2 linked regions of the Stegostoma tigrinum genome follow. The protein of the gene in region 1 interacts with the protein of each later gene in a biochemical or structural test. Links are inferred from orthologs where the notes say so. Each region holds a gene or a part of one and is shown on either strand. Other genes may lie near its edges.

The links.
Region 2: the proteins of shq1 (region 1) and dkc1 are reported together in a solved structure, tested with the Homo sapiens proteins (2 studies listed by BioGRID, with this or other methods). The link is inferred for Stegostoma tigrinum from reciprocal best matches to the Homo sapiens genes SHQ1 and DKC1.

The regions. Positions count from the first base shown.
Region 1 is NC_081364.1:39,855,191-39,870,723, forward strand, and holds the start of shq1 (protein SHQ1 homolog), read left to right. Parts: upstream 1-7,302; 5' UTR 7,303-7,686; intron 7,687-8,993; exon of another isoform or gene 8,994-9,087; intron 9,088-15,533. UniProt on the Homo sapiens protein: Required for the quantitative accumulation of H/ACA ribonucleoproteins (RNPs), including telomerase, probably through the stabilization of DKC1, from the time of its synthesis until its association with NOP10, NHP2, and NAF1 at the nascent H/ACA RNA.
Region 2 is NC_081368.1:49,359,064-49,374,374, reverse strand, and holds the start of dkc1 (H/ACA ribonucleoprotein complex subunit DKC1), read right to left. Parts: upstream 8,448-15,311; 5' UTR 8,359-8,447; coding exon 8,343-8,358; intron 7,139-8,342; coding exon 7,086-7,138; intron 2,597-7,085; coding exon 2,510-2,596; intron 2,026-2,509; coding exon 1,934-2,025; intron 1,736-1,933; coding exon 1,551-1,735; intron 1,061-1,550; coding exon 996-1,060; intron 559-995; exon of another isoform or gene 319-558; intron 81-318; coding exon 1-80. Other genes in the region: tmlhe (trimethyllysine dioxygenase, mitochondrial), read right to left, coding at 14,238-14,369.

The sequences.
Region 1 (15,533 bases):
AATGTTGCTGCTTGGCTGCAGTGCAGTGCAGTACCTCGCATGCAGTGGCAGGTACTCATCTCATGAATTGGAGCAGGATGCAACTTTGGGCTCTTCATTTGTTCTCTTAGTGCTCACCCACTCTGCACCTACTTGGATTCTCACAGTATCCCTGCATTGCCTTTTTGCGCATTGCCACATCATTCAAAAGTCACAGACTCACAGTACTTCTGACTTATCTTGATGTTTAGTGCAGACATAAAGCCAGGCAGTCTGTCATAGTTGTCAGCAGCGATCAGTTAAGGGGGTGAGCATGTTGCTTTATGGTACATATTACATCAATATTACACTTACAGCACATGCCAGTAGCCGACACAATACCAAATGGCCATTCTCAAATTCTACTGGTCATCAATCAGGTCAAGGGGGATTGGCGTCGCTCAGGGGAACCAGCATAGTCAGAGCTTTGTCCAATATCATCATTTGACACAGTCAGTCAGGTGCTTAGGGAAGTCAGAAGTTCCATGTCATTATAATCTGGGCTTTGGGTTATGGTCAGTGTGACCAGACAAGGGATTAGTTCTATGCTAGCATAGTGCACCATAGATATCAATTGAAGTCCAGTCACTCATTAGCCAGGGGTCTGGCATTGTGCTAAGGTTGGCAAGTCTGTGTAGCTTAGCTCTTTTGGCTGCACATACAGTGACAGCCAATCAGGTAAGTGATGATGTAAAATCAAAACATAGAATCATCATAGAATCCCACAGTGTGGAAACAGGCCATTCAGCGCAACAAGTCCACACAGACAATTCCACCTCAACACATCCCCTAACCGTATCTCATACCTAACACACCTAACCTACACATCCCTGAATACTATGGACAATTTAGCGTGGCCGATCCACCCAACCTCCCCATCTTTGGACTGTAGGAGGAAACCAAAGCACGCAATGGAAACTCACACAGACATGCAGAGAATGTGCAAACTCCACACAATCAGTCGCCCAAGGCTGGAATCGAACATGTATATGAATGTGAGCTTCTATTTACTAGGAGTGTCACCTGTGCCACCTATGTGCCTGCTATGTTTACTGTAAAGGGCTATTTGTGGCTGGAGGTAATTGACTTGATGCTGAGTAGGCTTTAAACATGGTGCAGGTGGCAGAAATCTTGGAAGTTCCTGACAGTGGTAAGTACTTCTGCTGTTGGCGATGTAACACAGCACGAGAATGGTGTCAGCGAGGCCATGATGTGATATTGAGCCATATCTAATGAGATGAGCAGAAGACAGTTGCACGAAAAATCTCACTTGAGCTCATGGCATAAAGCCCTGAAAGAAATTCCCCAGAATTTATGCTTGACTGATATATGGTAAACTGTAGCCCAGTGTGTTCCAGACAAACCACTGAGATGGTCATTGTTGCCTAGGATATACAAGAAAAATGTTAAGATCAAAATCAGGAACTTCATTGCAGTCATTGACCTGAACAAAGGATTTTATTCATTCAATTGTAAGGTTCTGTGGATTGTTCTCCAGGGATTTTGTTGTCCAATAAAACTTCATTACAATCTTGCAACTGCTTCAAATACAACTGCAACCATCTTTGGGAAGAGATCTGAAGCAGACATGTTGAAAATCTGTGCTGGGTCAGGCAAGGCTTTGCTTTAGCCCCATACAATCTACAATCTCCCTGAAAGAGATTACTCAACTCATCAAAGATCTGCTGCCCTCTGCTGTGGGCATTAAATACAACTTAGTTCAAATCTTTTTTAACCTCAGTCACCTCCATGCCAAAACCAAACTGACCACCACAGCCACATACAACTTACAATATGAAGATTAACATCACGTTATTGCTCACTTTATCCTAGATTTGCAAGACATTCTTAATCTTTTCAAATCTGAAAACAAGAGACATGGTCTGTCCTTGAATGTAATGAGAAAGAAAACTCATATTAACCCAGACCTGGCCTGTCAAATATTTCACCTCCCACATGTATTGAAGAAGAGACTCTGTAATATCTTGAGCTACACCTTGGTAACAACCACTACCGAAATGGCCGTAATTGACAAGATCAGCTGCACCACTCAGCCTTCCACGAAAATGGCACTGAAGACTTGACTTCAAAGGCCTGCACAAGTCAACAAAAGTGCTAGTGTACAGAGCAATATCACCAGTCTACAGAAGTCTTGTGATACCTGGACTGTGTGTTAGCAATATGTAGGAGTTGAGAATCTCAATTAGCAATGCCTCCGCCACACTGTCTGGATTCAGTGGGCAGACAGTCAAACAAAGACTACTGTCCTTCTTCAGATCAGCTTTACTAGCAATTCTGGCAAATCTCTTTCAAAGCCAACTGTGATAGATTAGATACAGTGGCTGGATGTGTGAAAAGCATCTCCTCTGTCAGATCATGCTTTCTCAATTATCAAATAGCCAGCGTTTCAAGGGAGGGCAAACAAAATGCTACAGACGGACTTGTAATTTCTTCTGGAAATGTGGCAGCTTTGACATTAATGACTGAGAGAAGTTTCCTTTCAATAGTTTAAAATGGTGCCAACTTTTTCATCAAGTAACTTCATACTTTTTATTCAACCATCTTATTCATGTGGCAAAGTGATGGCAGAGCTGGAAAGAAAAGGAAGCAATTCCTGCATTCTAAATCCCAGTACGTAATGAGATACCCTGTTGCATTTGCCAAAGACCAATGCGGCAAGAATTGACCTGTTCCCTTTACAAAATTGCAGGAATTTGTGACCCTGAGTCAAAATTGTTCTAAAATCAAAGTATAGCTGACAAATATTGTATAACTAAAATGCAAAGCAGCTTATCAGTAGTTGTGATAATATGCTATAGATGGTAATAGTTAAAATATTGTATCCTCAAACACACCAGAGTGACACCACAAAAATACGCCACCACTATACTAAAGGTCTTGCTTAAAGCACCTAATCTTTGCAAGTGTAAAATTTACCTCTTGTAACATTGTTTTTTTTGTGATGTTTATTATTTCTGTTCCTTGCTCTGGCCTGAGAGGCTACTGGTTCAGAAATCTGTTGCACCTTGGAAGTCTGCAGACTGGAACTTTCATTAAGTCACCCATTTCCCTCACCCCTACACTTCATAATTACTGTTTCCCAATATGTAGTCAGGAAATAGAATGAAAGTACAAAATGCACTTTAATCTACCAAAAACCAGTGCTTCTATTATTAAATCTTGACACTCTCTGTCTCAAAACAATAACATAAATCAATTATATGGAACTCTGGCTGCAAAGCACAAATACAATAAATGAATAATACCATAGCTGACCAACAATTTAATAATTAAGCATTAACGGATATGGCTGCAAGCAATAGCCCAATGAACTCAAGATAACAACGTGTGAAGCTGGATGAACACAGCAGGCCAAGCAGCATCTCAGGAGCACAAAAGCTGACGTTTCGGGCCCAGACCCTTCATCAGAGAGGGTCTGAAGGGTCTAGGCCTGAAATGTCAGCTTTTGTGCTCCTGAGATGCTGCTTGGCCTGCTGTGTTCATCCGGCTTCACACTTTGTTATCTTGGATTCTCCAGCATCTACAGTTCCCACTATCACCAGCCCAATGAACTCAACCTGATTTAACTCAATCCAATTTCATGTCACAAAATTTAAGTGACTAAGTAGAATTATCAACAAATAAGGTGAATAAATAGATAATTAAATATGAATGCTTGATTCAAAAAGCATAACATCAAGGGAAGCAATCGATTTACTGTCTTTCCTGATACTTTCTTCCATTTCATTTGCTGAATTTGGTCTCCATGAATCATCCAAATCCTTATGTCCTCCTTTATTGCTGAGGTGTAAGTTTCTTTACAAATAAAGAGAAACCAATGCAGAGATTGCCAAAAGTGCACTGCTACCTTTTTGTGTGGTCAATGTATGTAATTTTTCAAACTGCCAAGTACTGCCTGAGATAGACATGTGTGGTGGGGTTACCTATTAGTGGGAACTAAAACTTGTAACTTGCAAACACTAAGGGACAAGTGGCAGATTATGGGCAACATGATTATATACTTTGAAATGCCTATATTTCTGACTGTTGACAAGCTTCATGAGGACCGAAAAGGCAGAAGGGAAAATTAGGGTGAAAAATGAAAGAAGCAATGTTGGCCGATCATTGGTGCGGCACAAAATTTCTGTTTTATGTGAGATTACATCATGCAGAAAGAAACAAGTACGTACTGTGAAGTTGGTAGAATAAACAATTTGCAAAGTTCTTCTCCCTGAATGTAATGGATCAACAGTTAAAGTTCAATCTTCTGAAGTCACTTATTGTAGCTTAAAGCTTCAATATTAATTCAAGTTGTCTATATCTCCTTACTTGTCAATTTAATACACTACATTGTAAATCTGCACTTCCCAGTCACGAACCATTTTAACTCCCCCTCCCATTCCTCAGATGACATGTCCATCATGGGCCTCCTGCAGTGCCACAATGATGCCACCCAAAGGTTGCAGGAACAGCAACTCATATTCCGCTTGGGAACCCTGCAGCCCAATGGTATCAATGTGAACTTCACCAGCTTCAAAATCTCCCCTTCCCCACTGCATCCCAAAACCAGCCCATTTCTTCCCCTCCCCCAACTGCATCCCAAAACCCGCCCAGCTCGACCCCTCCCCCACTGCATCCCAAAACCAGCCCAGCCTGTCTCCGCTTCCCTAACCTGTTCTTCCTCTCACCCATTCCTTCCTCCCACCACCAGCCGCACCTCCATTTCCTACCTACCACCTCATCCCGCCCCCTTGACCTGTCTGTCCTCCCTGGACTGGCCTATCCCCTCCCTACCTCCTCACCTATACTCTCCTCTCTACCTATCTTCTTTTCTCTTCATCTTCAGTCCGCCTCCCCCCTCTCCCTATTTATTCCAGTTCCCTTTCCCCATCCCCCTCTCTGATGAAGGGTCTAGACCCGAAATGTCAGCTTTTGTACTCCTGAGATGCTGCTTGGCCTGCTGTGTCCATCTAGCTCCACACTTCGTTATCTCGGCTTCTCCAGCATCTGCAGTTTCCATTATCATTGTAAATCTATCTTTTTTCAAAAGAAGGAGGCTTTGCAGAACACCTACACTCAGTTCGCAACAAACAACTACACCTCCCAGTCGCGAACCATTTCAACTCCCCCCCACTCCCCTTCTTGGACGACATGTCCAGCCTGGGCCTCCTGCATCGTTACAATGACGCCACCTGAAAGATGCAGGAACAGCATCAGGTATCAATGTGGACTTCACAAGTTTCAAAATCTCCCCTCCCCTGACCACATGCCAAAACCAGCCCAGCTAGTCCCCGCCTGATTTCAGAAATCAGCTGAATATTATTTAAATGGAGAAAGACTTCAGAAAGCTTCAGATCGGAGGGATTTGGGGTCCTTGTGTATAAATCATAAAGAGCTACTGTACATGTTCAGCAGTTAATCGCCAAAACAAATGGAATGGTGACCTTTATTTCAAAAGGAATGGAGTAAAAAAAAAGGAAGTCTTCTTTAAGCTATACCAGACACTAATTAGATTACATCTGGAATACCTAGAATAGTTTAAGGCCTTTATCCAAGAAAAGGTATATTGCTATTGTAGACAGTCCAGAGAAAGTTTGCAAAGTTGCTTCGACATATGAAGGGATTGCCTGTTGAAGGGAGCTTGAATGGTTTGGGCCTGTACTCAGTGAGGTTTAGAAAAATGAAAGGTGATCTTAGTGCAACTTGGAAGATTTTCAGGAAATTTGGCTGAGTGGATGTGGAGAGGCTGTTTTCCCCTTTGAGAGAGTTTAGTATTAGAAAGCGAACTCTCAGAGGAAGGGGTCACCCAATTAAGACAGAGCAGGAATTTGTTGTCTCAAAGGGTCATGAATCTGTGGAATTCTTTACCACAGAAGGCTGTAAGCTGTGTCATTGAATATATTCAAGACTGAGATTGTCTGATTTTTAATCAGTTAGGGAATCTAAGGTGAGGGGGAGAACGACAGGAAAGGGAATTGAGGATTATCAGGTCAGCTATGATCTTGACAAATGGCAGAGTAGACTCCAATGATCTGAATGGCCTACTGCCACTCCTATGTCTTATGATCATATAAACTACAATTTCAACTTTATGTGGTTTAACCTTGGCAAGCTAAAAATCTTATTACTATTTGCTAAAACAAAATTAAGGAGCAATTTAAATTGCAGTATAATAATTTGAAATTTGTGATGTTGGGACATCAGGAACCAATTTAACTCGGTGAGGAGATGGGCAATGAAGGTGTGGGATAATACAATGTTGATCATGAGATTCATGTGAGTTCTCAAGTGAGAACTGATTCAAAACAAAATTGAAGCAGAATTAGATTACATCTTACGTACAATCCTATTTGAAATCTTAGGTAGTTTATTGATTCCAGTTTAAGTGTAACACTCTGTGAAACCTAAATTTACAGCACTGATATTGTTGACAAAAAATTATTTATACTTAGTTCTTCATCATGGATGATCCCTGGAATGGTAGGTTTAACATATGATGAATGGCTAAGGATCCTGGGATTGTACTCATTAGAGTTTAGAAGGTTGAGGGGAGATCTAATAGAAACTTACAAGATAATGTATGGTTTAGAAGGGGTGGACGCTAGGAAATTGTTTCTGTCAGGCGGGGAGACCAGGACCTGTGGGCACAGCCTTAAAATTAGAGGGGGTAAATTTAAAACTAAAATGAGACAACACTTCTTCAGCCAGAGAGTGGTGGGCTTGTGGAATTCATTGCCGCCGAGTGCAGTGGAGGCCGGGACGTTGGATGCCTTCAAGGCAGAGATCGACAAATTCTTGATCTCAAAAGGAATCAAGGGCTACGGGGACAGTGCAGGGAAGTGGTATTGAAATGCCCATCAGGCATGATTTAAATGGTGGAGTGGACTTGATGGGCCGAATGGCCTTACTTCCGCTCCTATGTCTTATGGTCTTATCTATTGCTCTCTGCATACGTGAGCGAGGAAGATTCCAGAATGCCAGACGAGAGAAGGCGAATATTTTGTTGAGATTAAACTTCATTAAACTTTCTAACTAATGAACTGATTTGAATTGTAGTCATTATTGACACATAGGAAGACCGAAAAGCCAAGAACTTCCGTGTACGTACACTTCACACACACTACCATATGGATCTTCTCGACAATTTTGGTAAGATACCACGATATCAAACAGTTCCCTGTGACTTTAAATCGGCCAGGCAGAAGAGACTCCTTGCCTCTGGATGGCGCGGTTGCCCACTTAGCGAGAGGTTTTTTCTTTTTCCGGGTTAGATGGTCTGAGTCATTTGGGTGAGCACGTTGTAATCAGGGTGATAGAATCGCCGACAGTGGAACAAAAGGCTAGCGGAAGTCTGAGGACTGCAACATTCTGGGGAATAAAGGGCTGTGGAACGCTGAGGTCTGCAACATTCTGGGGAATAAAGGACTGTGGAACGCTGAGGTCTGCAACATTCGAGGGGGAAGGATAAAGGATTGTGGAATTTTAAGACGGAACGTTCGGACGGACAGACAGATAGACAGACATTCTAAGAACTTCACGGCGGGAGCACCGTGAGCTGCTCGTGGGCTTTCTGTTGAGGTTGAAGCGGCCTCCCCGGAGCACGGGCTGAGCAATCCTCATTCTTATTAAGTGTGCTGCAGTAGTGCAGTCGGTTATCATTAATAGAAGGTAATGCATTCTAAAGATATCAGCACCACACTGACTTCACTGGTGCAGAAGAGTAAACTTGGGGCAGAGTTGTGATTTTAATCACGCCAAAGTATTGAGTGCAACAGTCACGTGCGGTGTCTCGGTGTTTATATGTCTTCTATGCGCGGCCGAAATAGTAGTTATGCAGCTATGTCGGTAAATTTGGCACGATCCGATCTAGCTGCTACGTTGATGCAATCCAGAGTGTTTTGAAATTAACTCATGACGTTTTGACATGTATGATGTCAAATTGACTATTAGTATTTGTGCTTGGAGTGCAAAATTGTCAAGAATTCTATGAGGCTTCATGTTGGTATGAAGTATGAGTAGGGCTGCGATTCTTTCATTATAGCTATATTCACCTGATCTCGCGGTTTGCCTGGACCTTGGGACGATATTGATCAACAACCCGTAAAAGAGTATCCTTCCTTACTTCAAGCATAGTGCAGCATTGGAGAATATCAGCATAATATGCCTGTACAAATACTAAGGTAACAAGGTGTGGAGCTGAATGAACACAGCAGGCCCAGCAGCATCAGAAGAGCAGGAAGGCTGACGTTTCGGGCCTGGACTCTTCTTCAGAAATCATTTCTGAAGCAGGGTCAAGGCCCGAAACGTCAACCTTCTTGCTCCTCTGATGCTGCTTGGCCTGCTGTGTTTATCCAGCTTTACACCTTGTTATCTCAGATGCTCCAGCACCTGCAGTTTCTACTATCTTTGGTACAAACACTGGTTGTCCCTTCATTTTTAAGACACAACGTTAGTATTTGGATCCAACACTTTATTTTGAAGAACACGAATGGGAGTGGATCAAATAATCCTCAATCTCTCTGTGCCATTTGATTAGGTCCTGGTTTATGTTTTGTCATTTTCTTGTTTAACCTTGTACTCTTAGATTTTTGTAAACTAAAGAAATCAATTGATCTCTGTCTTTAACATACGCGAAGACTGAGCATCCACAATTGCATTGTGAGTATTCTGGTTTTTCAGATGGCGGCACCTATTCGGATGTGGCATAAAAAAGATCCTTTATATTGGGGAGGTAATGATTGAGAAATCTTCAAAGATTGTTATTTCCCAAGTAACAGTTTGCTGTTGTATAGGTACAAAATTAAAAAAAGAGTGAATTGTTTTAATATGTTCAGTCTTTGATCTGCTCAGGACCCAGATTTGACAAGATGCATTATGATGCCTTGCTTTAGAAATGTGACAATATTTTCCTTGAATCCACTGCATTAGGTCTCCAGATTTTCTGTTACAGTTGCTTTTGGAAGCATTTTGAGTGTTTGGTTCGGAAATCAAACTTTCACCTACTTTGGTTCACTTCTACTTTGGATCACACACCTTGTGATAGTTTGACTGCTGGAGTTCTTCTTGAAGGTACGGGGAGTGAATGCAGATGACCCTAGATAGAAGCATGCCCCTTCAACTAAGTAATGGCCTTTGTAGTTTTTTTCTGAGAGAAGGTTTGAAGAGGCTGTTACTGCAGAGTACCAGTCAAATTTCACAGTTCAAGTTTTTCTCAAGATATACAGAGAAATATTTCTGTGAATGTGGGTGAGCAGTCAGGTGGAAAGAGACTTCTCATGACAGCTACATGAGTTTCATAAATTTGCAATCTGAGCTAATGTCCCCTTGTTCCCTCCAGCCTACCTAACTCATAATTTAACAGTCTGGTCTTCATTGCTTAAGATTTCAAGTGCGGTCTGTTCCTGTGTTTTAGAGTTTTCCATGTGAACGGTGTTGAGTGACTAAAATGTCACACTTAACTGTAGAATAAGCACTAATGCTGACCTAACTCGTATTTCAAGTGCACCCGACTGCCCTTGCATTTGACCCAATGATAGTTCTTCATTGCCTTAGGAGAACCGGAAACAGGCTGAGGAAGAGAACCTGTTTCCCAGCTGGTACAGAATTATCAGCTTAATAACTTGGCCAAGATGGAATGAATGAAAGACGTCAGTTGATGAGTTCTGTCCTGCCCTTTTGTTCTCTTGAGCTGTAATTTTGTAATTTTAAGAGTAGGTGAAATTAAGAGCAATATTAAGTAGGAGATCACCCAGGTTAAAAAGAAGGCAGATTGATTTAGGATGTTGAGTGTCAGCTTCAATTTCAAAAAGATCCGAGTCCTAGGAGGCCCGATGGAGAATGTGAGTTGTTGCAGTTGGAGCTGCTAGAACAAAGATCTGTTTCTGCAGGAACACTCCCTGGACCCCACCGTATATAATGACCATGATGCTGTTCTAAATTAATTTAGTCTGCCTGCTCATGATCCATATCCTTCTATTCCCTGCTTGATGTCAGAATGCATCTGAGTCATTGCTATCAACTCTGCCTGTGCCACCTCCCCCCACCTCGAGGCACCCACCACACTTTCTTTTAAAACAAAAACTTGCCTTGCACATCTTCAGAAGTTTCCCCTCTCACCTTAAACCTACTGGCCCCAATATTCAACACTTCCACCCCCCCCTTAACAAAAACATCCCAAATCTGTCTGACCTCTCTTCACAGCTAATAAACTCCAATACAAACAGCATCCTGGTAAACTCCCTTGTACCTTCCACATCCTATAATATGGTGACCAGACCGGTACTCCAAATGGCCTGATACAGCTGCAACATGATTTACCAACTTTTATACTCAACACCCTGACCGCTGAAAGGCATTTCTAAACTAAAAACCTTTTGCCTTGACTTGGTCCGCATTTCTCTCGTCTGCCTATTCCTGTATCAATGAAGATGCCTCTTAAATGTTACCGTTACATCTGCTCCTACTACCGCTGGCAGTGCATTCCAGGCATTTATCACCCTCTGTATTTTTTAAAAAGAAACCTTATTCACTAGATGTGGGGGTCACTGTCTGGCCAGCATTTTTGTCCATCTCTCTGCCCTTGAGACTATGGTGATGAGTGGCCTTCTCAAATCACTGCATCCAAGTGCTGTAGATTAACTGACAATACCATTAGGGAAGGAATTCTAGGATTTTGACCCTTGCTTCTTGCATCTCCTTTAACTTTATCCTTTTCGCCTTAAATCTTTGTTCCCTAGTCATGGCACTTCTTCCCTGGGGAGAAAAAGATTCTGGCTATCCATCCCCCTCAAAATTTTGTTAATTTCTTTCAGGTCTTCCCTTAGCCTCTTGATGTTCAAGTGAAAACAAACCAGTTTGCCCAAACTCTCCTCATAGCTAATACCCGCCAAACCAGGCAACATCCTTGTAAACTGTGGCTGTACCCTGTCCAAGGCCTCCACATCTTCCTTGTAGTCTGGCGTCCAGAGTTGTGTGCAGTATTCCAAATGTGACCTAACTGAAGTTCTAAGCAGCTGCAACATGACATGCTAATTTTTATGCACTTTGCCTCAACTAGTTGAAGGCAAGCATGCCTGATCCCTTCTTGACCACCTTATCGACTTGTGTTGTCACTTTCTGGGAACTGTGTACCTGTACACACAGATCCCTGTTTGTTCATGATTGTAAGTGTTCTGGCGTTTACCCCTCCGCCCCACAATCCCAAACCTTGCATTCGACCTTCCAATTTGCATCACCCAGCATGTTCCAAATTAAATTCCATCTGGCAATGTTCCTCAACATCAGCAGCTCCTGCATTCTTTGTGTCATCTGCAGGCTTACTAATCAGATCACACTTGTTCTCCCCCCACATAATCTTATATGTAGTACAAGCAGAGGCCCCAGCATTAATCTGTGCAGAGCACCACTGGTCTCACATCTCCAGTTGGAAAAACATCATTCCACCACTACTGTTTTCTATGACCAAGCCAATTCTGTATCCATCCGTCACTGTTTCCATGTGACTTCACCTTCTTAATTAGCCTACAATGAAGGACCTTATTCAAGGTTTTGCTAAAGTCCATGTAGTCAACATCCACTGCCCTGCTGCCTTCAGTTATCCTCTTTACTTCCTCAAAAAAGTCAGTCAGGTTGGCGATTTGATAACCTTAATGCTTTTCAGATGTCCACTTTTTTCATAGCAACATGCTCCAGGATATCAACATACCCCTCTTTCCATCCACCATGTCCTCCTTTGTGAGTACCAATGCGAAGTATTCGTTAAGGTTTTCACCTGCTTCCTCTGGCACCACACATATATTCCCTCTTTTGTCCTTGAGTATATCTACCCTTTCCCTAACTACCCTCTCACTCCTCATATGTATGAAGTGTCTTGGGATTTTCCTTAATCCTTTTTGCCAAGGATGTACCATGGCCCCTTTAGCGCTCCTAACTCTTTGTTTGAGTTGTTCAATTTCTCTTGTCATCCAAGGTTCCCAAATCTTGCTAGCCTTATCCTTCATTTTCACAGGAACGTGCCGGTCCTGAACTTCAATCAACTGGCTTTGAAAAGATTCCCACGTGCATGATGTGGATGAGCCTTCAAACATCCACTCTAAATCACCAATCCCCAGTTTCTGCCTCGTACTGTCATTGTTAATCTTATCCCAGTTTCATGCTTTCACCCAAAGACTGATCTTATCTGTAAGTACCTGAAGAAATGCTGAGTTATGGTCACTATTCGCGAAATGTCCCCATACTGAAAGCACGTAACAAATTCCAACTACCCCCACCCCCGAAAAAAGAGGTGTCCCTGGCTCTGACGAAGTCCCAATCAGTATAAGGAAAGTTAAAATCACCCACTATAACAACCCTGTGTTAGTTCCACATTTTTCGATTGTCTCTTCCTATGTACTCTGCCGGCTGTTGGGAGGCCTGTAATAGAACTGTATCATGAATTGTTATTTAGGAAGTTTATTTGTCTGAGCCAAAGAAAGAACAGAAGAAAATTGAGAGGACTATCAATCACAGCAGGTTTTTGAAAACTCGAGAGACTAGTCATTTGAGGAGCGTTGGGAACCTGGTGTTGTGCAGAACCTGGACCAGTTTGTAACTCCATGACCCTAGTGTAAACAGAAGGAAGAGATGGGTTCATAAGCAGTTTGGACTTAGTAAATTGATAGCAGGGATTGGGGACTCTAGCTCTTGAGATATTGGAGAGGTTAAAATTGTACTCCCTGAAGCTAAAAGGATTAACAGTTGGTAACCAGAAGGTACAGATTTAAGAATTTGAAAAAGAATTAAAAGGTAGTTGAAAGTTTATTTTCCTTGGTTATTATTCTGATCCAGAATGCACTGCCTGAAAGGTTGGTATAAACAGTTAAATAAGGACCGTCAAATAGGATTTAGATAAATACTTTGAAGGGGAATGAATAGATGGAATATAGAGAAACTGGAGGGAATTCGGATGCATTACATGTCTGTGCCAACTCCTCAGAGCTAAGAGAGGTTGAATGACCTGTTGCACTGTATGATTAAGTTTTCTTGGGCCTTTTGGCAATCGAGTAGTTAATCATCCGGTGTCTATTACATCAGCCATTGACTCCTCCATTGAAGCTGTGATAATTTCCAAATGGTGCTCTTTTGCTTCTGTAAGATTTATGATTTATTTTGTTGGAGCTTGTTATTCATTGTTATGAATGTTTGTTTGTACTCGTATCTTGCTCTGGTAACTGACCATTGTGATTGAGCCCACAGACAGTACATTCCTGTAACCAACAGATTTGTCCGGTTTTAAGTGGAGTTTCAGTGGTTTCTTGGGTTCAGCTGTCATTTTATGCACGCTTCAAAACACTAGATAGTACCTAAGTAGCAAAAGTCATGTAAGCTGAGGGAATGAGTCTGATTTATCTGCCTGGTGTAAGTTGCTTCTGCTAATCTGTGCTCCGAATAAATATGATTTGTAGCTGTAGCCTAGAGGTAGCCAGCTATCGAGGTACGTAGTCAACATTTCCTTCACATGTATTCCTTGCAAACAGATTAATACTTCACGTAGAGCATGGTAATTCTCATGTGATGTTTCAGGTTTCTAAGTGAGGATGCCTTGTTTGTAGAAATGGCTCCTTGGATTGGGTACGCAAACTAGGGATTGCAAACAGATTAATACATCACCTAGAGCATGGTAATTCTCACATTATATGCAATGTTATGTTTCAGGTTTCTAAGTGAGGATGCCTTTGAGTTTGGTAATCCAATGTAAAACAATAAACTACTAACCTCAGCGAGGATAAATGGGAGTCCAGTTCCACATACACAGTCAATGCATGAGCCCTGGTGAAGGTTCCAACACTAGCTGTTGGATCAATGCCTGCTTTTAAAACAATGGGCAACATGTAAAGCAGAATTTATATAGCAGTTTTTGAGTGTTAAACTGTCCTGTAGTGTCATGTAAACATCTTTTAGTTAATGTGATTAACTAACTGATATCGTGACTTTAGAAAAATTTTAGATGTAGCAGATGGGATTAAATAGTATCCATTGGATGGACTGTAAAGTTTGAAAGCTTAAGGAAACATGAGAGTAAGCATATGAAATGCTGAATTAGGACAGAGGTTACTTTTCGACTTGACCTTTTGGAGCAAGTCATAGGTAGGTACTGAGTTGAGTGGGTTTGCAGTATCTGTTGAGAGAGATGCTGAGTTCCTGACTGTCCTTGATGTTGGTTGATGTACTTCCATGGTCATTGAATTCCTGGATCTTGTTGCACTTGCAAGGTGGAGGGGAATTGCTTGGACTTTCCCCCTGAAACAGGAGGGGATTCCTTTCATTACCCCACCACATTGTAGATTGACTGAGAAAGGTTATGTACTGCTAAATTTCTTTTTCGCCCTTGCTCAGTTAGGATGTCGGCATTAGACTTTTTTCAACGTGTCAACAGTGCAACGTCAGGGCCAGTTGTCTGTGTGTGAGGGATAATCGTGACTGTATTGCACTGGGTCAGCTAGTTATTTCTTGCCCATCTTTCGTATTGGGTTCACTTGGAAAGATTACTTTTTGTGAAAAAAGAACATTTTTTGGGTGGAGTCATCATGAAACTTGGTTTTTGAATGCAGCCAAGAAAAATTGGATGTCACTGGGATTTATTCTCGTGATCAATCACTGCACTTTCCGAGCTGACTGGTACCTTCACTATTTCCCTTGCTAAAATGAGGCTTTATTGGCAACCATCCAATAAAGCTGAAACCTTCAAGCCTTTAACTAGCTCAGTGTGGCACTGCAGCCTGGCTAAGGCAGTTAGAATCATTAGGCATTTGTGGCCAGCAATAAATAACAGCAAGTGTAACTAATTTTGTGTCCAGTCACTCCTCTGCCATACTGTTTAATTGCTGCCCTTCAGCAGGTTTTTTGTCCCTGCACTTCAGATGGAAATGTGGATTCTCGGGGGAAGTGCAGTGGTATCTGATTGCTGTCATTTTGGATGAGATGCTTTGAGAGCAGCCACAGAGATGAGCTGCTCTGCTTGAGATAAATTGCACGTGACGTCTGTGTGATGAACCTGTCAGTGGAAAGCAGAGAGTCCTGTTATTGACTGTTGAAGTGTTGCAAAGGATTGACCACTAATGGGTTTAAATTATGCTGTGGCTTTCGTAATCAAAGCAAAGAGATGTTGCTGCTGAGTTTGAAGAAAAAGGTATTGCTCTTGGACATACTGCTGACTTAAGTGATTTTTGTCCCAACTTCATCAACTAAATAAGTCATTATCTTCAGACAGAGCTATCGTGTGGTGAGGCCAGACAATTAACCTATGATTTTTTTTACTGCAGAATTTTTGTTCACTGTCCATCAGGGCAAACTTTAAACAAAAGTACTTGGCCTTTTTGGAAACTTGACTTCATAATATGGAGTGCATAAATTTTCTTAACAATCCCAGATACTACATGGGTGTTGACATCCACCCCGCACACTTGACCACCTCACCACCTTGAGCCCCTCACTTTCTCTCTTTACTGTCATTCTGCCAATTTGCCCGCATGTGGTTA
Region 2 (15,311 bases), on another chromosome or scaffold:
GTACGGACTCTTAACTGTCTCTTGACAGCAGCAATTAGAGGTGGACGTTGAAATAATGCTCCAGTCAACATCTCCAAGCCCTAAGTGAGGAACACACGGAGGTTTGCATAACAGTGTTGAGCAGTTCAGTTATAAATAGACAGACATAATCCCTCCATTAAAATTAGTTATTCATGAAATGGAAATTAAGTTTGCATTTTCTATACCATACTGAACTGAATGTTAAAAATCACCATACATTCATAACTTGAAATTTTAAACTCAATACCCCCAATATATATAGTGAGAAGTTATGACTAATTAGAACTATATATGTACGTGATCAGACTGCATCATTCATCTTAGTAGAATTAGATCCTAGAAGGATTCAAATTCTGCCAAACCATCTCACATCCACATACACCCAATCAGGCACCAGTAGCTTCTCAGCAGAACGCAAAAAAGTCACATGGTACAAGATGAATATATTTCACCCAGAGCCTTAAACAAGACTTAGGGTGCTGTGGAGCAAATGGTTAGCATCACTCGGCGAATGGATAAACTTATTCATCATCTCACGTACACAGTGAAGCACTTAGATTAAGCAATGAACAGATAAAAACAAAGACAAAGACAGTCAGAACAAGCTAAATCTTGGAATAGGCACAAACAAAGATGATCTTTATGTTTGCATCTCTACCTTATTGTCAACTGTCAGCTTGGGCAATCTGAGAAAATGAATAGGAACCCACTCTATTCCTACAACTCTCATTCAATTTTAAAATTCATTTACATATTGTGGGTAACACTGCCTGACGCCTGTATTTATTGTCCAGAGAGCAGCTAAGAGTCAACCACATTACGATAAGTCTGGAGTCACATGTAGATCAGACCAGGAAAAGATAGCAGCTTCCTTCCCTATCCTCAAAAGTCCTTCAGAATCTTTAACAAAATAACTTAGAATTTTAAACTTGGACAAGCCCTAATAAGATAAAATAATACACAGGCCTACTTACCCGGCTAAGCTGATGTTCATTTTCAATAGCATTGTGCAGCCGAATAATTCCCACGTACTCTTTGCCTACAATTAATAGCACAAGAGTCGTCAGGACAGGCCACGTCAGTTACTGTATCACGAACTGTGATACTAACTAGCCCCAAACAGAAATGGTACCTTATAAGAAATGCTTTGACTTCACAGGATGCCCTACTCCCAGTGAAGAATTACTAAAGGTATTAGGCAAAATTACCTACAGTGCACCAAAAACAAATTTAAGAGAAACCACGTCCAAGAATTTTACTGCACCGTGTTGGAAAGCAATAAAAACAGCACTGATGTTTCAGATCAATTCACGTTTTCTCTAACACAGATGAAAATGAAAGAATTAGATCTGTGATCAAACTCAATGTAACATATCATGTTACAGAAATTTGAGGGTGCATACATGAGGATCAATGGCCGGCACAACATCGTGGGCTGAAGGGCCTGTTCTGTGCTGTACTGTTCTATGTTCTATGTGATTTTCCAAAAAGGCAGTGCTGCAACCAGACCGGTGTAGGAAGCCACTTACCAGCACTCTGCTGGGATTTGACTAGTCGTGTTGCTCGTTCTATACACACAATCAGGCAGCCTGTAACTTTGGGATCCAACGTTCCACTGTGACCAGTCTTTTCCACCCGCAGAATCCTGCGTATCCATGCCACAACTTCATGTGAGGACGGATTTGCTGGTTTATCAAGATTAATAAATCCTGACCTGCCAAAATGTAGCCTTGTGTCAATATGCCTTCCAGTAACCATGATAGATCAACAATTTTCATCAGTTCTTAAATTCCTTCTAAAAATGTAACCATTCTTGTCCCCACCCCACTATCAACAACAACATTTCATAAACAGGTAAGACAGCTAAAATGCACAAGCTTCAGTAATGCTTCATCCTGGATTATAGACATACCTTACATATTCAGAAATTTCCCTTTTGAGGGGTGAGCAGCCACTTGGAATAGGAGTGTAATGTGTTGTCCGTACATTAAGTTTGTCAAAATTCTGTAATACAAAGATTGGATTCAAGAAAGAACTTGCTTGTACATAGCTTCAGGCTTCAATCTGTTGAATACTGCACCAACATAAATGCAGCAAGATCTTACAACTAACCAGATCGTTCAGTGATGTAGCTGCAAACAAAATATTGACCCAAAAATGGAAATATCTTCCTTTTCAAAAGGATGCTAGGGAACACCTAAGACAGCAAATTTGGTCTAGCTTCTTAAACACAATGCGGTATTCCTTCAGAGTGTCTGTTAACTATGTGACTAGATTATGTAACTGTTTTAAGTGAGTGTGAACCCAATGACTTTCTGCAGGCTGGGCAAGTTAGACATTTCTTCAAGTCACAGAAAGATAAGGAGTTCTACTCTACAGACAAACAAAATGAATGCAAACAGATATCAACATGACCATAACACATTCATAAACTATCTGCAGATTAATAATAATTTATGACCACAACTGTATATTTAAATGAGATTACCTTTAGTAACAAAGGCCAATGAGACGTGTCTAGTTTCACTGTTTTTGTCTGTGGTTCGATTAGAAAATCAGTCTCCTGCTGGATACTCTGGAAGCATAATAAAGAGTGATGACTTAAGTCCCATTAGTATAAATACACTGTCCACAATTAAGAGTACAACAAATTACCCTACATAATACAGCAGCTGCCATCTGTATCAAGTCAACTACAATGCACAAGTTCTGGTATTTTGAAATAAAATCAGAAAATGCTGGAATTACCTGGCAGTTCCAATCTGGGGAACACAAACTCAAACAGTCTACAGCCTTTTTTGTTCATTATAGAGTTCAACCATTTCAAATTGTATCTTTGCCCTCAAATTTGCTTCTGTTCTCGTATTAGTTTTGGTTATTTCTTTATTTGTTCCTATGCGTTTGGATAGCAGTAATGTAAGCATTCACACCTCACCTGAACACATGCTCCTTTACTATACCCATCCCCTGGACATCATTATGATTTACAATCTTTCCTGCCTCCAGATTATCCTTTCTCCTGCTTTACACTTTTAGGTTTTGCATTTCAAACTTCTACCTATTCTCAATTCTGATTAAGCTCTCAAGCTATAAAAAAGCTAAATGCATCAATGACATTTTCTCAAGAACATGAGTGGATAGTCAGTGACATTGGCAAGGCTATTTATGATTGACTACAATAGGCAAATGAATCACAGCCCTTCAGATAGCCTTTGCATTGAAACTATAAAAAAGGTGCAGAAATCTCATCATTTGAGCTGATATGTCACTGTAAAAAGTTTCATTTTCCGCATGCCATTTCTCAGAATGCAAGGTTAGAGGACAAAAATCTAATATTAGCATCAGTTATTTATCATTAATAAATGGTTTTTTTAGAGGTCTAATGACAGGAAAAATTACAAATTCAACAACTCCAACAAAGGAGGGCAGCAAAAATCAGGAAACTACAGACTAATTAGCCTAGTGTCTGTCATTAGCAAAATGCTGAAATTCATCTTTAAGCATGTAGTAGCCGTAAATTCAGTACATCGTGTCAATTCTCCTTCAAAGAGCACTTTAAGGAAGAAAAAGCAAAATGGGGAATGATATGATGCATCTGTTTTTCCAAGGGGCGTGAAATACATGTGCCATGTAAAATCTTAAAATATTGGGGGCAATACCAGCATGGTTAGAAGATTGGCTAACTGGCATAAATTGAAATTTGGATCAATGCGTCATAGCTAAGCTAGCAAGACGCATTAGAAATTGGCATCTCAACTACAAACAAGATTAATATTTCTGACTAGAGGTCTGCTTTTATCGAGTCACGTTTTCTGACTGTAAAAAGCATGCAATGAATAAAATCAAGTTTGTAATGGGATGAGTTAATTATGTGGGTCAAGCATTGATAGATTGAGAATCATATAGGAGATGTGAAATTGGCTGCTCTGGTGCAAAAAAATAGAAAAGCAGGACATTATTTAAATGGACACATTCATTAACCTTAGCAGCATCAGTTAACACACACTGTCATCACATGACATCACAAAAGTAATGATTGGAAATACATCAATAATAGAAGGGAGGCCCAACCCAGCTCTCCGAGAACACTCCACACCACTGGTCAGCAAAAACAGAAGGGCCGGATCTCCCTCTCCCCCTCCCTTCCCTCCCCCAAAAACCACTCCCTCACAGAGTTTAACGCTTCCTGCAGCAACTTGGACACCGGCTTTACCCTAATGGTGATACCATATCATTTGGGTACAATCACTCCACAATTAAAAGCACACAATGTCATGGTACAAAGAAACCAAAGTTATACTTATGCATGGATCCCCAAGTTGGCTCACAGGCTCAGCCAATAGGTGGGATGTGCAAGTAGTGGAGGAAATGCAGGCAGTGCATCTAATTGATTTCTAAGAAGGGTTGTCTCATGAGGAAAAATCAAGCACATTGAGCTTTGAGTCAATATGGAGTTTAGAAGAACAAGAGGTGGTCTTATTGAGATACAAGTTGGGACTTGACAGTGTAGAAACTGAGAAAGTCATGGGGAATCTGGAATTAAGAGAATTTCAAATTTATTCATCGAGAGATTAAAAATGAAGAGAAATTTGTTCTCAGTGGATTGTTAATGTCGAATTCTCTACTACACAGAAATGGAAGTTCGCTCATCAGATACATCCAAGATTGACTTAAGATGTATTTTTGATCATCAGGGAATCAAGAGTCACAGGGCACAATCAGATCACTCTTATTGAACTGCTGGGCAGAATGGAGGGGCCAAACAGACCACTAATGAGCCCATAAGATGCAAAAGAAAAGTGGGCCATTCATCCTTCAAGTTCTTCATCATTCAATGAGATGACCTGAAAAATCTTCAACTCAACTGAATACAGGAGTTGGGAAGTCAGGTTGAGGTTGTACAGGACATTGTACAGGCCTCATCTGAAATACTGTGTCCATTTCTGGTCACCAAGTTATAGAAGGATATTATTTAGCCAGAGAGGGGTCAGAACAGATTTACCAGGGTGTGGCAAGGTATGGAAAGTCTGAGTTGTCAAGAAAGGCTGGGACTTTTCCATGGGAGCACAACAGGTTGAGAGATGACCTTACAGAAGTTTATAAAATCTTGTGGGCTGGGATAGGTTTAATGGTAAATGTCTTTTCCCTAGAACAGGGGGAATTTCAAGACTGGGGGCACACTTGTAAGTGAGAGGAGAGAGATTTTAAAAAAAAGACAACCAGCAATTTGTTTTTTTTTTAAAAAGACAGAGAATGATTCCTGTGTGAAATGAACTTCCTGAGGAAGTGATGGATGTGGGCATAATTACTATGTTCAAAAGATATTTCAATAAGTGTTTGCAACGGTTTGGAGAGATATGGGCCAGGAGTAGGCAGGTGGGACTATTTAGTTTCGGATTATGTTCGGCATAGACTGGTTGCGCCAAAGGATTGGTTTCCATGCTGAATGACTATGGCTGTCCTGCCTTTACTCAAATCCTTGATTCCCTCACTAAAAGTATCTTTCCTTGTCTTGACTATTTTTAATGGCCCAGTCCACTGTGGTGAAGAATTCCAGATTCACTACCCTCACAAAACAACCTCTCGAGAGCAACTGTCAAGAAACATTTACTGGCAAAGGAGTCACCTCTTATTCTTCTAACTCCAGTGCGTGCAGGCCCCAAGCTGACTGAACCTCTCCCCTTTATGAAATGTCTCCATACTCAAAATGCCAATCTAGTGACCTTTTTCTGGACTGCCTTCAATGCCAACGCATCTTTCCTCCGATTACAGCATCCAAACTTGAGCCCAATATTCTAGGTGTAGTCTAACCAGTCGCTGGCATTGTTTCGCCAAACTTCCCTACATTTATACTCCATTCTCTTTGATGGACAGACCACAATTTCATTTTCCTTCCCCATTACTGGCTGAATTTGTATTCAAGTGTTTTTGTGATTAATGCAGGAGTGGCCCTAAATCCCAGTGCTGCCCTCCCTGTATTTCTCCTTTTCAAAATATTCAATATGTTTCTTTCCAAAAATGCACAACCTCATTGTATAATATCGGTAAGTTTCTGCACTCACTTAATATGTCAACTTATCTCTACAGACCTTTTTTCTTTCATCATTAATGGGATGAGGGTGTCGTTGGTTAGACTGCCATTAATTGCCATCCCTAACTGCCCAGAGGGCAGTTCAGACTCAACCACATGGCTGTTGCTCTGGAGTCACAGGTAGACCAGACAAGGTAAGGATGGCAATTTCCTTCCCTAAAGGACATTATTGATAATGGATTCGTGGTCATCATTAGATTCTTAATTCCAGATATTTCACTGAATTCAAATTCCATCATCTGCCATGGTGGGATTTAAACCCGGCTCCCAGAATTTTATCTGGGTCTCTGGATTGCCTGTCCAGTAATAATGCCACTAGGCCATCACCTCCCTTTGTGTGTCATCAAAATCATTAACAGATTGTAAACGGTGGTCCCAGCACTGATCCCTGTGATAGTTATAGTTTGACATCCTTAAAATCCTTATCTCAACACTATCTTCAATTTGTTAGGCAATCTTTGATTCATGCTAATGTACTACTCACTACCATGGGCACTAAGCATCATGAAAGAATTCAAGTAAATGTCAGGCATGCCTCTATTTGAATTTAGTATGTATTTCTAAATATGTTTCTACTACGCACGTTAAAATAAACTTTTCCCAATTACATATGTTAATCCAACTACCTACAGTTATCTGGCTTTGTCTCCATTCCTTTTATGCTGGAAATGTTGGAAAACTGCCAATCTCACCCAGGACACTTCCAGAATCTAAGCACTGTTGGAATTTTACTGCCAGTGCCTCCAACGTTTCTGTAGCTCCTTCCTTTAACATCTGAGATTGCTACCCATCACATCCAGGGAATTTAATCGGCTTTCAGACCCATGGATTTCCCTTCCAACAGAGATTGCATTAATGTCACCTCCAAGGCTGCTCCCACATTTTGCTCCTTGCTTCACTTCTTGGACAATTTCAGACAGTAGTAGGAATTCATTTTTGCACTCAATGCTAGATATGAAAATAAAATTATTACCCCAATTCCTTCTCCATTTTTCTTCCTTTGCTTCTTCTGTTTTTTAATAGATGCTGCAAACAACAAACAGGGATGGTTAGAATCCCTCAATAAACTGAAGATTCAAGTCATTGGATGTACTCCCACATTGGAATATTTCAAACAGTAAAAACACCGTACCAAAACGCATGCACTTATTAACAGTTTTTTTAAACACTTTCAGACAATCAAAAGCAAGTTACTATCTGTTGCCATATGGTTGTTTCCTCAGACATAATGCAGTAGGTTCAGTACACAAGCAAAATCAATGCTGCTGGCCAAGGAATCCAAGGTAGGTGAACAGAAGGCTAGAAGAACACAACAAGCCAGGCAGCATCTGAAGGAAAGGAAAAGTCAACATTCTGGATAATACCCTTCTTCCACGACTCATGTCCAAGGGAGGCAGAAAACATCTTCAAAATGGGTATCCTTTGAAGGGACTTTGCAGTGGTATAAACTTAGTTAGAGACAAAAAAAACTGCAAATGCTGTAATCCAAGGTAGGCAATCAAGAGGGTAATACCCGAAACTTGACCTCTCTTTTCCTCCAGATGCTGTCTGGCTTGCTCTGTTCTTCCCGCCTCTTGTTTGTCTACATTAATTAACCAGCTAGAGTTTACATTAAGTGAATTCTGGACTCGTTATAGAAGGCTAATATGAATTCAATCACGGGGCAGAAAATGATGCTCATGAAATTCGTGTGTAAGATAATAATGCACATTATGATTGAAATCGCCTGTCTAACTGCTACGGCATTTAATCTCAGAAGGCAGCTTGCCAACCGCGTACTTGTAGTTGTGAAATGGAAATGGAATCTGTGGCTGGAAACTCGTGGCGACGACAAACAGCAAACCGAACTGCCAGGCCCGGCGCCAAACGTGGGGACCACGTGTTCGGCGCCGATTAGCGCCAGGTGCCTGTTCCCATCCATCCAGAGTCCAGGGCAATGCTGGCGATATCCCCCAGCCACCAGGAAACCACCGACATTCAAAGCAAACACCAAAAGTGGGGGAGGGAGTTGCTGCGAGTTACAAGGGGCGCGAAAACCGTCTCCCCTCTACAGGCCGCGGCCTCTACCTCCCTCCCGGCAGTAAGCAATGCCCTGAAGCCGCCGTGACTCCGGCTTCACTCTCTCTCTCTCTCTCCCCTCAAACAAGTCTGCAAATTACAGATCGTTCTCTGCAGCCGCCGTATTAATTCTGACTCCTTACCCCCACCCCGGACAAACAATGCCCTTTACCATCTCCACCCGCCATCTTCTCGCTCCGATCGCCAAGTGAAGAAACGCGCTCCACTCCGCGCAAGCCAATTAAACACCCGCCCCACAATGCACTACTGCGCGCATGTCAATTATAAGGGGGGGATGGCGGAGGATGGAAGACGGCGCATGCCCAGTCTATAAGAAGAGCCTGTTAATGGTGGAAAATCTGAAATATAGCTACCCGCTAAAAATATAGAAATATTCGGAAGGGCAGGATTTTGACCCTATTGTCGGAACGGTAAAGTGTTAGTATACACGTTTCTATACACATTTACGAAAAGGGGGGGGAATATTAAAAGTCAGTGATCAGCTGGAAGCAGGAGAAATTAGAAGACGAATGATGGTGCATAGTAAATGAAATCAGACATAAAAACAAGATCAGTCTAACGGAGACGTAAATGGGATTAGCATGATTATCACCGAATGCTCCTGGATAAAATACATGCAGTATTTATAGAATCGTAGAATTTCCAACAGTGGAAGCAGGGCAAACGGCCCATCGAGTCCACAACGACCCTACGACGAGCATCCACCCAGACTCACCTCGCTACCCTACATTTCCCATAGCTAATTCACCCAGGCTGCACATTTGTGGAGACTATGGGCAGTTTAGCATGGTCAGTCCACCTAATCTGCACAGCGTTGGACTGTGGGAGGAAACCGGAGCTCCTGGAGGAAAAGCATGCAGACAAGAGACAATGTGAAAAACCACACAGTCACCCGAAGGTGGAATCAAATTCAGGTCCCTGGTGCTGTGAGACAGCATAGCTGACCACTGAGCCATTGTGCCACACATTATGATCAATCTGCTGAACTCAAGAGGGAAGAAGGTTGTAAAGTGTCTCAATATTTGAACTGGTATTTCTTAAACTTGGGTTGGCTCATTAAATACCCAAGTTCAGAGAGATCAGAAGGGAATGGGGAAGGGAAATTATTTCTGCAGTCCAGACTTGACAGAAGTTTTCTAAGGACTCCCCATTTGGTTCCAGATCTACCTCTACAGATAATTTAAATCAATTTATTGCTAATTTGGGATATGAGGAAGGGTGCTTGTAGTGCTGAATCCCTATCACTGAGCCAGGAAACCTAGGTTCAAGTCTCACCTGTTCTGGAAGTGTGTAATAACATTTCTGAATAGGTTGATTATGTCATTATTATATCAGAGGCACCATCCCATACCTTTATTCTTCCTTAACTAGCACAAGACAGAGTCAGAAATCACCACTTGAATTAGAGTGTGCGCATATACTTGTATATCAGTCTATCCAAACAGCATTCAATCTCAGCCCATGAACTGCACTCTGCTTGATAACAACAGACAAGAGAAGCAAAGAGTTCATTCTGCTGCTAACATTAGTCTCAGCATCATGAGCCTCAATTTTGCAGCAATCATGTCTGTGCCAGTTATCAAAACCCTTCAACTTCTGTATGCTATGGTGTTTTAAAGTGATCATCAAAATACTTCTGAAATATTGTGGTAATTTGTGCAGCTGCCATGTGCTTAGAGACTGAGTTGCAGACAGCTTCTGCTTGAAAAAAACTTCCTTAAATCCCTCTAAACCTCTTGCCCCTTTCTTGAAATCTATGCACTGTTGTTCTTGATTCTTCTCGAATGTAGAAGTTTTGTGTATTTAATGATGCTCAATTTTGTCCAACTCAGTCAGATTCCCTTTCAGACTTCTCTGGTCGTCATCTCTACCTGAGTCCACACAGACTTTTCACTGTACTAAAGTGTGTTGTGAAAAGTGTATTATGTCACCAGAGGTAAAGCCATCTTAGGTACAAAAAAAAAACTTAGAGTTGAAAAGTTAACCATTACCTTCATCAAGTAGAAAAATAAATCTAATAGTTTAAATTTTAAAAAGACTTTAATGTTAACTAGAAAATAAGGAATTAGGTTAGAAGTTCTTATAAACTCCAGTCACAATTTATTAACCTTAGTGACTGCCAACCATCTTCAGCATAACTACCAACTTTGGCAAGAGTCTCCATTTTTGTCCACTTGTGCTGAAGTTAACCTGACATGCACTTGCAATAGATACTTCTACATCTCAACAGAATTAGTACTCAGCACCAGCATAAGTTTCACATTAAAGTATGAAAGAAAGACATGTTCAGTTGAAATGTTTTGTGTAGAGAAATGGCCGAGTGGCTTTTACATAGAGAAAAATGATTGTGCTTCATTACAGAGGGGCCGTAGAAGCAAAGAAATTGAGAACTCTAGAAAATACCACATTGAAAATGTTTTGAGGTTTCATCCTGAAGTGACATTTGGGGCCTTGGGGATCCATGGGGCTACACAGCACTGTTTTCCCCCTCTTGCTCAAATGGACAATATTAACAACTTTGTCTCCAATTTCTACCTCCTTCCCGTTCACAAGGTTCATCTCAACCCTTTCCCTTTCTCAATTTTTAAATTTCTATTTCCTCAAATAAATTACTGACCAATATTCACCATTATGCCACTGGTCTCATACAGGTATCTCAAGTACCTTTCCTCCCACCCCAAACGAGGAGCTGTTATTCCATTTTTCCATTCTTTATGTTTTTATTTCACCATTTTAGAATTTAGACAGGAGCAACAGGAATCCACTCAGCCCCTTTATTCTGCACAGTCAGCCATGAATAGCATACCTGATCTTTGCATCTCGATCAGCTGTGTTGAATGAACTTATCCTCAGCAATCTATGAAATGATGAGTTTATAAAATTTCAGAAGATTCACAACTCTTCATAAAAGAGTGAAGAAATTTCTCCATCCTAACTGTTAGCTCCGTAAGACAAGATCGTGAAGGCCCCTCATTCTAAATTCCCCAACCAGAGGTAAAAACATCCTCCAAACATGTACATTGAATGTTTAACATTCTTAAAGAAACTTAACATCGAGGTACATGCAAACAAAGGGGTAGGCAATTCAACTCAGATCTTGACTGCCATTTCATAAGATTATGTCTAATCTTATTGTCATCTCAAATCCACATGCCCTTCTATTTATGATAACCTTTCACTCTTTTGCTTCACGAGAATCTATCATCTCTGCTTTAAAAATATTAACAGCACTGCTTTCACTGCCTTCCTGAGCTGGTAATTAAAAAAGACGTGACTTCCTTAAAAAAAAATTGGCTCATCTGTTTTAAATGGGAATAAGTTAATTTCTAAACAGTGACACCTAGTTCTGGAGCAACTCTTTCTTCTAAACTGCAGGTATATGGTCTGTTTGTTCTCGGTTAATCCTGAGAGATCACTGGTCTGTTTTTTTGTTCAACATAGAAAGTAGGAGATAGAATAGCCCATTTGCCCCCTCGAGTCTGCTCCATCATTCATTTTGATCATAACTGATCATTCAACTCAATACTGTATGTTCTCCCCACCACTCCCTGTATGCCCAAGTGCAATATGCAATTCGTTTTTAAACTTGTACAATGTTTTGGGCTCAACAGCTTCCTGCAGTAACAGATTCCACAGGCTTTTTACTCTTTGGGTGATGAAATTTCTCCTCGTCCAAGTACTAAATGGTTTACCCCATATCCTTAGACTCTGATCCTTGCTTCTGGACTTCAAAAGCATCAGGAACATTCTTTCTGCATCTACTATGTTTAGTCCTGTTAGAATCTTAAGATTCTATGAGATCACCCCTGAACTCCAGCAAATACAATCCAACTGATTCAACCTCTCCTCATATTAGTCCTGCCATTCATATGGTGAGCTTTCACTGCCCTCCATCTAAAGCAAGAGCATATTCCCCAGACAGGGAGGCCAAAACTGCATATAATATTCCTGATGGGGTCTCACCAAGGCCCTGTACAATTGCTGCAAGACTTCTCTGCTGCTGTGCTCAAAACCTTTTGTTCTAAAGGCTAACATATGATCTGCCTTCTTTACTGCTGGTTGCCTCTGCGTGTTTACCTTCTGTGACTGGTCTATGAGGACAAGCAGGTCACATTCCCTTGTTCAGTTCATAGCCATATTAAAGCTATCCCATCTTCCAAGGCCAGTTTAAAAGTATTTTTAAAATCAACATGTTCATATATATGAAATGTCTAGGGCTGTTAGGATTTGGACAATCCTTCTGGCTCAGAGATAGGCACTCTACAGCTGCGCAATAAGACCCTCTCCCAAGGCACATATACCTTTCCTAACAAATTGTACAGAACATTCATGTACAATTGTACTGCTCATTACCAATGAGCTGAATGGTTGTAGTAGATTTATTTATTTTTGCATTCCAATCCATTTATAGACTAGCAATATTTGCATATCTACATTATTTTCTGTACCTAAAAAGTTCATTTCGTGACTCATGCACAAGAACATGCAGCTTCCTCTAAATGCAATATTTCTCAGTCTCTTACAATTCTAAATATTTCATTTTTTTCTTGAAATGAATAGCTTTGATTTATTCACATTACATTCCATTTGTCATATTCTTGCCCCTCACTTAACATGTCTATAAGCACATTTATCTCTCTCACAACTTGCAAAAGTAAGTAATTTTGTAAAGTCAACAGACTTTATGCATTGCTTTGATGCTCCACAACACATTCTTATGGATTTAAGTAGTTGATGACCTGATCCATACAGCATCCTATTAGTTACAGCCTGCCAAAAATGAAAATAATCTATTTATTCCTGTACTTTGTCTGTTAAACAATCTTCAAATCATTGCCAAAATATTACTCAATCCCCTAGGCCCCATTTGTAGTAAAGATGTGATATATTTTATTGTACGCTTTCTGAAAGTTTAGAAGATTAACATTCTGTAGTTCCCTGAACATACATTATTGCAACCTCAAAAAGTTTACAATATTTCTGATAAAACTGTTTAATTTCATAAGTTTACATCCACTCTACCCAAACATATGATAGAACATTGCTAGTAATGGATCCTAGCATTTTCCCGACTATGGTGTCAAACTAATTGACCTATTCAATTTTCTGTTTCTCCTCCCTTTTGAATAGCTGTGTTTACAACCGAGATTTAGAATCCTCACAACTTCCTTATATCACATTTAAAAACTGTGTCTCAGAAAAAAGTTTCCTCATTGCCAGAAATGTATGGGTGGAGCTTTATTTAGGTATTAATTCAAAACATTCTAATATCCAGAAATGATCTGTATAAAGCATGGAACATAAATATTATTCAGAGGTTGCATGACACAGGTTTATAGTCCAACAGGTTTATTTGAATCTCTACCTGATGGAGCAGCACTGCAAAAGCTAAAGACTTCAATAAACTTTCAAATAAACCTGTTGAGACTATAACCTGGTGTCATGTGACTTCTGACTTTGTTCACCCCAGTCCAACATCAACACTTCCACATCGTGAATGTTACTATGCTTTTACTAGGCTTTGCATAAAACATTATCCATAATAGTGCAGTTGTTAACAGTCATATAAAGTGATTATGGGAGGAAAAGCCCAGTTACATATTAGCAAGCAACTGCCAAGTTCAAATTTAAGCACTATAAACTATAAATACTCTTAAACTAAACAATATTGAATGTAGAGAGCATGCTTTTGATCTTGTTGTTCAAGTTGACCACTCTAGTCTTTCACAAATGGTTCTGATCACAATTTCTTTGGCAACTGTATACAATGAATTTCACTTTACATAATTGGAATAATAAACTTCATTAATCCATTAGGAGGAGGGTGGGTCAAAATGAAAAAAGCAGTAGTTGAAAGATAATAATAATAAAGATTTAAAACTAACATTATGGTTCAGCTGGGCAAACTAAATATAATTTGTAAAACTGTCTGATTCAATGAATATATAGTTCATGATCTTTTAAGTTTCTCTAGAAATCTAAAATTCAGATACATGTCAAAACTCTGAAGTCAACAAATTGTATAAGAAGTTCAGAAATTTGTTTTTCAAATCTCGATCCCAAGGAATCTTGCGGTGTTCAGTACATCATCTCTCATCAGGTAACAGCCACACAGACGACGGTATCCAGTAAATGCATCACGTCCATGAAGGACTCTCCAATTATCAACAAATAAAACCTATAGTAGATGCAAGCATTCATTTAAAATGTTACAATTTTAGTACATATGTATCAATTTTTACTTCCCAGTGAGAAACAACAACTACAAAACAATAAGACCATAAGACATATATGAGTTGAAGTAAGGCCATTCGGCCCATCAAGTCCACTCCGCCATTTAATCATGGCTGACGGGCATTTCAACTCCACTTACCTGCACTCTCCCCGCAGCCCTTAATTCCTTGTGAGATCAAGGATTTATCAATCTCTGCCTTTGATGAATAGCATTGTTCTTTCATCACAAACAATTATTTCAAAGACTGACGTAGAGAAGCATTCAAAATCCAAAAACAATTTTGGTATATAGCTCATTGGTACTCTACTTATGAAAGTCCTTTAACTCTCTTTGCCTCAAATAGATCACTGTGAAAATGTACAAAGTAACACCTGAGACTCACCTGCTCTTAGGACAACTAGATATCACATCCAACAGGCAGTGACTGAGATAAGTGGCTGTTCAAATGTAAAACACCATCTTAAGCAGCTCTACATAATTTACAATTGTAAACGGGTTGAGCTTTTCAAAACTTCAACCATTAAAATCACTAAATGAACCTTTACATGCAGATGAAAGTTTGACTTTTTCCTTAAAAATGCTCTTAATGTAGGTTGTGAAAGTACAAACTTTAACATAAACAAAAGGCAGATGGGTAAGAAACATCTAGCAAAAAATTACAAGAGCAGCAGGAATAACAGTTTGCTTGCTACAACGTTTATAACACTTCTGCTCAACCAGAGCATTTACAGAATAGTAAACTTAACTTAAAAACTTCACAACTGCACAAGTTGGAATCAACATTCATCATGGATTAGGCATAAAATGTTATACACAATATGCTATATCTTGTGTCCACAAAGCTCTTTGTTGGACATGCCTCTTCTAGAGATGAATGACTTGGCA